Linked DNA regions of Saccharomyces cerevisiae S288C. Changing the gene in region 1 together with any one later gene gives a genetic interaction. Each region holds a gene or a part of one and is shown in the gene's direction. Other genes may lie near its edges. The genes, in order: EMC10, KIN82 and RGD1.

Region 1 (3,114 bases):
CAGCTTCCCCGATGTCTCTGGTTGTATGACTAGTGCTTTCATCATCATCCATCCTTGCGTTGTTTATCTGCTCAACTTTGTTATCATCATTTAATGAGGATTTCAACTTGTTCATCAACGCCAGTTCAAAATCATTATTCGGTTGATTTCTCATGTTTTCAAATATTACTTCCATTTCATGTGGACTTACGATTTCGTTTAATAATTCTTTCACTTCTGCTATCTCCTTAGAAATCCTCAAGAATAGCTCATTATCAGTGTTAATTAAGTATTCATCTGACCGAATTTCTGCGGTATTTATATCTGCTTTGTTTGAGTGGGTTATTTGACCAAGTTCAGTTGACTCGCCATGATCCCCAATTTTGTATGATAGGAAGTTTCCATTATCTTCATTAAATGTAAACGTCTTGTTGAAAAATATCTCTGCTCTCTGTGAATTAAGTATGTTCAACGATAAAGTGGTTTGAAACCGATCTTTCATATCAACCACTTCCGCCAACCAAACACATGAGTCACCAGGCTGGAGAATATGTCCATTAGGTAACGATACTAATCTCAAACTAAGCATTTTGTTTATGGCATTTCCAAATTTCTGGTAATATGTTTCCGTAATCTCATCCCAATTTGACATGGCATTGTCAGTAACCATTAATTTGTCTCTTTCGTCGGTGTTAAAGGGCCTTAGAAAGTATATTCCAGAACCTAAAAAAATCGGTTCATATTTGGTGATTAAATCAATAGAGTTACTACCAATTTTTGATTTTGCGGGCATCCTGCAAAGTATAGGTGAGGCGTTCTTTTGGTCTTCATTTTTGGCTAGTAATTCTAAATTGCACAATTCAGGTATGGTAACTTGGGCTTCATAAACACAAATTTTTGTTTCTCTCACCCATTGAATAGTCGATGGTCCAGAGTTTGAGCCGCCACAGACATATTGTATTTCAACCATTCTTTCAGCCCCCGTCACATCGCAAATATCACCTGACCCTATAATTTCGCTGATGTAATATCCTACATCGTCATAAAGTAGTTCAAATTCTCTCTCTTCTACATTTGCTTTTGGTTTTCCCAGGCGGTAGACCAAAGATTCATCTCGATTTACTATTTCACCAGTTTTTGTATTTACTCTACCATGGAACTGAACAAATTCTATGCCAGGACAGTACTCGTAAATCCAAAATCCGGCTTGGTAGAAGATGCACCGTTCATTTAATTTATCGAAAATTGTCTTAACACCTTGATTCAGGGTTTTAGTTAATAATGCTGTCTTTTCACTATTGCTATGCTCATTTGAGTCTTCCAATACATCATTCAATTGAGTGCTTGCATTTTGAATAAAGCATTCAAGGTCGTCGCCCATATTCACTATATATCCCGAGTTCATGACAGACTGATTTTGTAATATCCTATCACTCCAGTCGTCCTCATCGATGTAAGATATGAGGTACTTATTCGATACTATGGGGTCTTCTATAGGTGCTAATAGTGATGATCCTAACGGAATCAACGCAGAAATTGCGCTCAGAGCATATATAATTTTAGCTTGCATTGAAACAGGGAAGAAAGGGGATGATAACGATATATGTGAAGATCTATTGCTTATTTTAGGGAATCTGCTTCTTTTTTATGAAGCTACATTTTTACTTGAAATTTCCGCTGTATTTTTTTGCATACGTGCGCTGGGTCTCTAACCACTGTATTTGCATTGGTAACTTAAAAACCCAACCAAATATAGGAATAATTAGAAGTATATAAAAGACACTTTGAGTAAAAAAACAAGGTGGTACTATTCAACACTATCTAACAAGAACTGTACAATACTCATTGAAGGAAAGATGCTTGTGCGGCTGTTGCGTGTGATTTTATTGGCCAGCATGGTTTTCTGTGCTGATATTTTACAATTAAGCTATTCAGATGATGCGAAAGACGCTATACCCCTAGGAACATTTGAGATTGATAGTACATCCGATGGGAATGTTACAGTAACAACCGTTAATATACAGGATGTTGAAGTTTCTGGAGAATACTGTTTGAATGCCCAGATTGAAGGTAAGCTGGATATGCCATGTTTTAGCTACATGAAGCTGAGGACACCACTAAAATACGATTTAATTGTGGATGTAGATGAAGATAATGAGGTCAAACAAGTGTCGTTATCATATGACGAGACTAACGATGCTATTACTGCTACAGTCAGATATCCAGAAGCGGGACCTACTGCACCAGTCACCAAATTAAAGAAGAAAACCAAAACTTATGCTGATAAAAAAGCTAGTAAGAATAAGGATGGAAGCACTGCACAATTCGAAGAAGATGAAGAGGTTAAGGAGGTGTCTTGGTTTCAAAAGAACTGGAAAATGTTACTTTTAGGCCTATTGATTTACAATTTTGTTGCGGGCTCAGCAAAGAAGCAACAACAAGGAGGTGCCGGAGCTGATCAAAAGACTGAGTAAATAAAGTATTGTGATTTTTTAAATTTTTAAGTGTCGTTACTTTTATCTCTTTCCCGAAAATATTTGAATACATAAAATTTTTAAATAAATGTTTTTATTTGTTCACATGTCGTGAATGACAGGTACTAGTTATCAAAAATGAAGAATATTTCTTCATTCCATTACATTATAGACATGATGATTGCCGTCAAAAGACCGACCAAAGGGGTTGTTTGGCCAATTGGTGCCATGATAGCGGCATTGCCTTTGGAACTCTTAGAGCTAGAGCTGGAAGCGCCAGAACTAGAAACACTAGAGGCAGAAGCAGCAGCCTTGATATCGCCAGAAGTGAACTTCTTTTCCTCGGCCTTAGAAGATGACTTGGAAACCTTGGCAGTAGTTTGGCTTGATTGAGATTTGGAAGTGGACGATAGTTTAACAGATGTGGATGATGCACCATTTTTGCAGACAAAAGATTCACCCTTGATACCCCCTTTCTTTTGCAAAGCTTTCAAAGCATTACAGGAGAAATTGCTTGACTTTGATTCGACATCTGCGCCACCCTTGACAGACTTCAAAGAGTCTAGGTTCAAGGAGGTGAAGTTACCAACAACTTCCAAAGTACCGCCAATGGTTGTTAGGTTGTCGAGACCACCAATTTTTTGTAAACCAGTGTTGTTAG
Region 2 (3,761 bases), on another chromosome or scaffold:
GATAAAATTTGATTAATTCACAACCTCTGCAATCAAGGCTTAAAGGAATGAAAGAATCTTCTTTGACCTTCGATAAACCATGCTTCTTCCGCACATCTTTTATCTTGGCCCATTTGTCGTCACTCTGATCAGTTAAATATTCATCCTCAAAAGCGCACAGGTTAACTGACAATTCTTTTGAACAAAATTTACACTTCATCAAGAAAGATGCGGTACCTTTTGATGCCGGCATAGCATATTCTTCAAATGTATTGATGATGACTTTAGAATCGTGTAATTCTCTACAACTGGTACATTGTAGATCGAAGGCAAATTCTGCCCTTGATTCGTTTGTATTCTCAATTGAAACCTTGGTCACGTTTTCTGATAATGTTGCTTTCAGAACCAAAAATAACGGCATTATCGTACACAACCTGGTTTTCTTTATTGGTTAAGTTGTCTTTATTCAAAATTTTTCATTACTTCTTATAAACAGCTTCTTGACGCTTGTAATTTCATAAGTTTTTGATACAAGCAATGGAAACAAAATTAAGAAAATGTAGGCAACGAAGAACTAAATTTGAAAAAAAAAAAAAAAAAAATTTACTGCCAAGATCATCTAAATTATCTTATAGTAGCAAAGCTTGAGCATAAAAGGATCAATCTTTTAGTTTTTTATGGCAAAGTACATTTGCAGTAAGTAATTAGTGATGAGATAAACAAAGAATAATAATCCAATTCGAAATCAAAAATTCAAACAACAAAAAACATAATTTCACATATATATCTAATTCATTCACGAAAAACACGTCAGTTCCTTCTGTCTGTTGTAAATAGGATGCATCCGCAGTGAATCATGGAAATATTTCAAAACTTTCAGCCCAATCATTTTATTTGGTCAATGAAGCCATAAACGCTCCGTAATTCTAAGATTAAAAAAAATTCATAAAAATAAGGACCAATATAAATATATATATTTAATGTGCTAGTGACAATCCTAGTGATAAAATTGCAAATTATACTACAATTGGTCATGGTGAAGCCTAAACACACCATTACGTCTTCACAGTGTTATTCATTTTATTTTCAAAGGTATGCTACTACTAATGCACCAGTGTATACCATGATACGGTGAAAAGGGCATGTAATATTGCGTTAATTTGTCGATAACCTTTCTTTACGTTTAAATTTTTTTTTTATAACTGGCGACACTAAACTTCTCGATAAAATACAACATAAAAAGCAGTACCTAGCTAAGCGAACAACAGATAATAAATAGCTAAACATCTAGGTTAATAGCCAATTAGCAATACATTTAAGGATTGATAGTGTGGTATTTACAAGGTAATAGCCCGCTAGGCTATAAGGAAACTACTCTAAATTCACCTTCCATATATGTGACTGCCAAGAAAATATTACTAGTTATCAAGCTTTTTTTGTGTGCATTCAACTTCAACGAATCCTTCGTCATCAATGAAACAAAAGAACAAGCCAGAACTGAAAAAAAAAAATCAAAACCACTAAGAATGTCACATCCTTCCAAAACTCCTGCTGGCTCTTCAACTCTTCAAAGAATATCAAGATAAATATCATTATCTCCAGTGTGGCCGACCCATGCATGAGTGCGAGGAGCATTAAGTTGGATCCTGGGAAAACATGTCAAGGACATTCAATAAAGTACTTTTCATACTACAACAGACGCTAGAAGAACTAGAATGTAACCGTGAACTGCCTCTCAAACACATAATTATGATAGCGCCGTCTTCGGCATCCTTTTTCGGAAATATACTTTCCTTTTTCCCTCTTTCAGCTATATTGTTCAAGGAGTAACATAAGACATAATAACCCCAGTTTTTTTAGAGAAAGTTCTTCTTCTTTAATTATAGTATGTTTGAAACGTACAAGAATTCATTGAGTGCCCTAAGGATTACTGCAAACAAGGTTCAACAGTGTTGGTACACATGACTCAGCAAGAATACCGTTCCCCCTCACAACGCTTATCCAAGGGGAGGAGCATGTCGCTACCCAAAATATTTGCTCGTAATTTGAGATCTCTGCAAAACAATGCACCTCCTGGCAAAAACATCAATGTCAATTGTTTGAACGTCAATTCTTGTTCGTTGTCCGCAAGCCCAAGCTCACAAATTAATATGGCTTGTAATGGAAACAAGCAAGATCTTCCCATACCGTTTCCCCTGCATGTAGAATGCAACGATAGCTGGTCAAGCTCCAAACTTAACAAGTTCAAATCAATGTTTAATCATAACAGATCAAAGAGCAGTGGTACTACAGATGCGTCAACTTCAGAAAAAGGTACGCATAAGCGTGAACCCCGGTCGACGATACATACAGAGCTGTTACAAAGTTCCATTATCGGTGAGCCAAATGTCCATAGTACTACAAGTAGCACACTTATACCCAATGAGGCGATATGCTCCACACCTAATGAGATCTCAGGTAGCTCTTCTCCGGACGCGGAGTTATTTACCTTTGACATGCCCACAGACCCGTCATCCTTCCACACTCCTAGCTCCCCAAGTTATATAGCAAAGGACAGTAGAAACCTGAGTAATGGATCTTTGAATGATATTAACGAAAATGAAGAGCTCCAAAATTTCCATAGAAAAATCAGCGAAAATGGCAGTGCCTCCCCCCTGGCTAACTTGTCATTATCCAATTCACCAATTGATTCCCCAAGGAAAAATAGCGAAACCAGAAAGGATCAAATACCTATGAACATAACACCACGTTTAAGGAGGGCCGCTTCCGAACCGTTCAATACGGCAAAGGATGGGTTAATGCGGGAAGATTACATTGCCTTGAAACAACCTCCAAGCTTGGGAGATATTGTAGAACCGAGGAGATCTCGTCGTTTAAGAACCAAGTCATTCGGTAACAAGTTCCAAGACATTACTGTCGAACCTCAATCCTTCGAAAAAATTAGACTACTTGGCCAAGGTGACGTAGGTAAAGTGTATTTAGTGAGGGAACGCGATACCAACCAGATATTCGCCCTGAAAGTTTTGAATAAACATGAGATGATCAAGAGGAAGAAAATTAAACGAGTACTCACTGAACAGGAAATTCTCGCGACAAGTGATCATCCATTTATTGTGACACTGTATCATTCCTTTCAAACCAAAGACTATTTGTATCTCTGTATGGAATACTGCATGGGAGGGGAATTCTTTAGAGCCTTACAAACAAGAAAAAGTAAATGCATTGCAGAAGAAGATGCGAAGTTTTACGCCAGTGAAGTAGTAGCAGCTTTGGAATATTTACACCTACTGGGCTTCATATACAGAGATTTGAAACCCGAAAACATATTACTGCATCAATCTGGTCATGTCATGCTTTCTGACTTTGATTTATCCATCCAAGCAACGGGATCAAAAAAACCCACCATGAAAGACTCTACGTATTTAGATACAAAAATTTGTTCAGATGGATTCAGAACTAATTCCTTTGTTGGTACTGAAGAGTATTTAGCTCCAGAAGTAATCAGAGGGAATGGCCACACTGCAGCAGTAGACTGGTGGACTTTAGGAATATTGATTTACGAGATGCTATTTGGCTGTACTCCATTTAAAGGAGATAATTCAAATGAAACATTCTCTAACATTTTAACCAAGGACGTCAAATTTCCACATGATAAGGAAGTTTCGAAGAATTGTAAAGACCTGATAAAGAAACTACTAAACAAAAACGAGGCAAAAAGGCTTGGTTCCAAATCAGGAGCTGCAGACATAAAGAGACATCCCTTCTTCAAAAAAGTTCAGTGG
Region 3 (3,761 bases), on another chromosome or scaffold:
TTAATGGTTGAACATTAACTCCCCACTTGGCAGGGTCTAATCCGTACAGTTCCAGAGCTCTTGCTTGACACAAGGATTCGGACTTATCGATGATTTCGTTACCTCCGTAGTATCTTTCACCTGGATAACCTTCAGAATACTTGTTTTGGAGCTCAGAACCTAGCAAATCCATAACGGCCTTCGAGGTGAAGTTTTCTGATGGGATAAGGGTGATAGAGTGTTTTTGTCTGTGACGTTCTTGTTGCAAGATGTCAAACATCTCTGGATCTCCCTCCGAGACTGGTTTGGAGACTAGCGATTGTGCACCACTGGTGAGTAGCCCACGACGATGAACAGTTGCCATACATTTGGCCAATGCAGAAGCTCTGGGAAACATGATTGAAAGACTATGAGACTCGATGTGGAAATGTCGGCTTGATGATTTTTGATAGTTTGCTCTTCTCCAAGAGGCGATGGCTTTTAGTATTTTTTTTCTCATTGACCACCAATAAGCGAAGTACCTAAAAAAAAATAATGAGTCTTTTTTATATTCTATCTCTTGGACAGAAGGGGGACAGAACAGACAGTGGACTAAGAACCAGCAGATAACGGAGAGAATCATGTCGAAATTGGGTCCGTTAGCAAGATCTGTGAAGTGGACTCTCTCTGTGGGAGTAATCGGTTCTGTTTTTTACCTGTACCGATACAGTAACAATGGCTACTTCTACGATCACGATGCTACATGGTTGAAACAAGATCATCAGGTACAGGACCTGGTGGATAGAAAAGAAGTGGTACCTGGGGAGACCAGGAACCGCAAGCTAGTTGTGACGGATGATGGCACTGCATGGAGCAGGACCATGGGGGAGAGCATAAAAGATATTTGGAATGAACAGATAAGAAACTCTGTCGATTGGATCTACTCCTGGGGTAAGAATTAGCGAGCTTTCTATTTCTCCTACTGTAACGAACATCCTCATGTATATAACCTATTGTAACGACTCTGTGTAGAACTTTATATTCAGAAAAAATATCAAAAGAAAAATTTAATTATTAATCAGTACTTTTCACTCTGGTAATGTGCATCGGTGTCAAGAGCATCTCCAAGAAAGAATACATAAACAACAACGATGGACGTGCCTGCAGATTCCCATATCAAATACGAAGATGCCATCGACTATTGGACGGATGTGGACGCCACTGTGGATGGTGTTCTAGGTGGATACGGAGAAGGTACAGTAGTACCCACAATGGATGTCCTGGGATCCAATAACTTCCTGCGTAAACTGAAGTCGAGGATGCTGCCTCAGGAGAACAACGTGAAGTACGCTGTAGACATTGGTGCGGGGATTGGACGTGTAAGCAAGACCATGCTTCACAAGCACGCCGCTAAGATAGACCTTGTAGAACCGGTAAAGCCTTTTATCGAGCAAATGCACGTTGAATTGGCTGAGCTGAAAGACAAAGGCCAAATTGGACAAATATATGAAGTAGGGATGCAGGACTGGACCCCCGATGCCGGCAAGTACTGGCTGATCTGGTGCCAATGGTGCGTGGGACACCTGCCAGATGCAGAACTCGTCGCATTCCTGAAAAGATGTATTGTTGGTTTGCAACCTAATGGGACAATCGTGGTCAAAGAAAATAACACACCTACAGATACCGATGATTTCGACGAAACGGATTCTTCGGTCACAAGGTCAGATGCTAAGTTCAGGCAAATCTTCGAAGAAGCTGGCCTAAAGCTCATCGCCAGTGAAAGACAACGTGGCTTACCAAGAGAATTGTACCCAGTGAGGATGTACGCACTCAAGCCCATGCCAAACTAGGATCAAGGATGCATAGATTTATATAGATACGCCCCTTTTCTTGTGCTGGCATTCACCATTTGTGCCATTATATAGACTTTTTTTTCGATATATATGGAAAAAGAACCCAGAAAATAAAGAATGTGAACAAAATAGTATGTAAAGTAAAAACATACAATCTCGGAAGATTAAAAGAGAAGTGATATAGACAAGATGGAAGAGACTGCGAAGAAACCAGCTAGTGCCACAGTAAGTGCGAAGTCGTCGCACGATGGTGGCACCGACGATTTGGCGCACCTTTTTAGCACGCCAGAGATCAAGAAGGTGCTAAATTCCGATGTGGCAATTAACGCTTTGTTGAGCCGTTTAAAGCAGTCGTTGTTGACTTGTGAAGAGTTTATGAAATTTATTAGAAAGAAATACGCCTTCGAAGAAGAGCACGTTCAGGAGCTCTCCAAGCAATATAAGCACTTTTTCAACATTCAGGGTTCCACAAATTCATCCTTAAAAAAGATGATTCACGAAGTTTTGGGATTCGATGGCAAGATGGCTCAAGTAAAGCAGAGTTATATCACCGCCTTGCAGAAAATGTACTCCGAGATTAGTAGTCTTTTATTAACAATGACAAAATTAAGAAAGTCTGTCAAGGAGAACAGCAAAAGGCTGGAAAAGGATGTTTCTGATGCCATACACAGCGCAGAAAAGGCGCAATCTCGTTACAATTCGTTGTGCCAAGATTGGGACAAATTGAGGATGACTGACCCAACAAAAACAAAGCTGACCTTGAGAGGTTCCAAAACTACGAAGGAACAAGAAGAAGAATTGTTAAGAAAAATCGATAACGCCGATCTGGAATATAAGCAAAAAGTAGATCATTCTAATTCTTTGAGAAACACATTCATAACGAAGGAGAGACCTAGAATTGTTCAAGAATTAAAAGATTTGATTTTAGAAATAGACACAGCGATGACTATCCAATTGCAGAAGTACACGATATGGACGGAAAATTTGGTTCTGAATACAGGTGTTACAATAAGCCCATTGGACTCCACCAAATCTATGAAATCATTTGCTGGATCTGTTTCCAATGAACGTGATCTTTACAGTTTTTTGAACAAGTATAACCAAACAGGAAAACATTCCCTACTGATCAACAAAAACTTGATCCCTGTATCATACAAAAAGCATCCATCAATGAATCATGGTCAGAAAAATAAGAGCCCCCCAAAGTTTGCCGTGGACCCTTCAAGAAACTCCATCCCGAAGAGAATGATATCCACTCATAATGAATCTCCATTTTTGAGCAGTAGTAGTAACACTGCCGCTGTTCCGAATGCTAATCTTAACAGTGCTACACCGTCCTTAAATACCAACAAGCAGTTACCACCTACTATGGCTTCATCTATTTCTTCCACTAGCAATGCGGCTGGCGCTATGTCACCGTCTTCTTCCATTGTAACAAGCGACACCACATCATCCATAACAAAGACCCTGGATCCTGGCAACAATAGTCCACAAATTCCAGAAGAATTGATTAACTCTTTAGACTCGGATCGCCCGATTTCTCACATTCAGACTAACAACAATATGCCACCCGGTGTTCAAAAAAATTTCAAAACATTTGGTGTACCGCTAGAATCACTGATAGAATTCGAACAAGACATGGTCCCTGCGATAGTGCGCCAATGCATATACGTTATTGATAAATTTGGGCTTGATCAAGAAGGAATTTATAGAAAATCGGCAAATGTACTTGATGTCAGCAAGTTGAAGGAGGAAATTGATAAGGATCCCGCAAACATTTCCATGATTCTACCATCAAAGCCACATTCTGATTCGGATATTTATTTAGTAGGATCACTGCTGAAAACTTTTTTTGCGTCGCTGCCTGATAGTGTTTTACCAAAGGCCCTATCATCGGAGATCAAGGTTTGTTTACAAATTGAAGACCCAACAACAAGAAAAAATTTTATG

What was found.
Region 2: mutations in EMC10 (region 1) and KIN82 together harm fitness more than expected from each alone (negative genetic interaction), as found in Saccharomyces cerevisiae (3 studies listed by BioGRID).
Region 3: mutations in EMC10 (region 1) and RGD1 together harm fitness more than expected from each alone (negative genetic interaction), as found in Saccharomyces cerevisiae (2 studies listed by BioGRID).

Annotation. Positions count from the first base shown.
Region 1 is NC_001136.10:564,362-567,475, reverse strand, and holds EMC10 (Emc10p), read left to right. Parts: upstream 1-1,835; coding exon 1,836-2,453; downstream 2,454-3,114. Other genes in the region: YOS9 (Yos9p), read right to left, coding at 1-1,549; PST1 (Pst1p), read right to left, coding at 2,615-3,114. UniProt on the Saccharomyces cerevisiae protein: Part of the endoplasmic reticulum membrane protein complex (EMC) that enables the energy-independent insertion into endoplasmic reticulum membranes of newly synthesized membrane proteins.
Region 2 is NC_001135.5:272,464-276,224, forward strand, and holds the start of KIN82 (putative serine/threonine protein kinase KIN82), read left to right. Parts: upstream 1-1,940; coding exon 1,941-3,761. Other genes in the region: YCR090C (uncharacterized protein), read right to left, coding at 1-400. UniProt on the Saccharomyces cerevisiae protein: Flippase activator that phosphorylates DFN1 and DFN2 and which is involved in the generation of phospholipid asymmetry in membranes by the inward translocation of phospholipids.
Region 3 is NC_001134.8:732,879-736,639, reverse strand, and holds the start of RGD1 (GTPase-activating protein RGD1), read left to right. Parts: upstream 1-2,000; coding exon 2,001-3,761. Other genes in the region: glycine hydroxymethyltransferase SHM1, read right to left, coding at 1-376; MIC12 (Mic12p), read left to right, coding at 600-920; TAE1 (N-terminal protein methyltransferase), read left to right, coding at 1,110-1,808.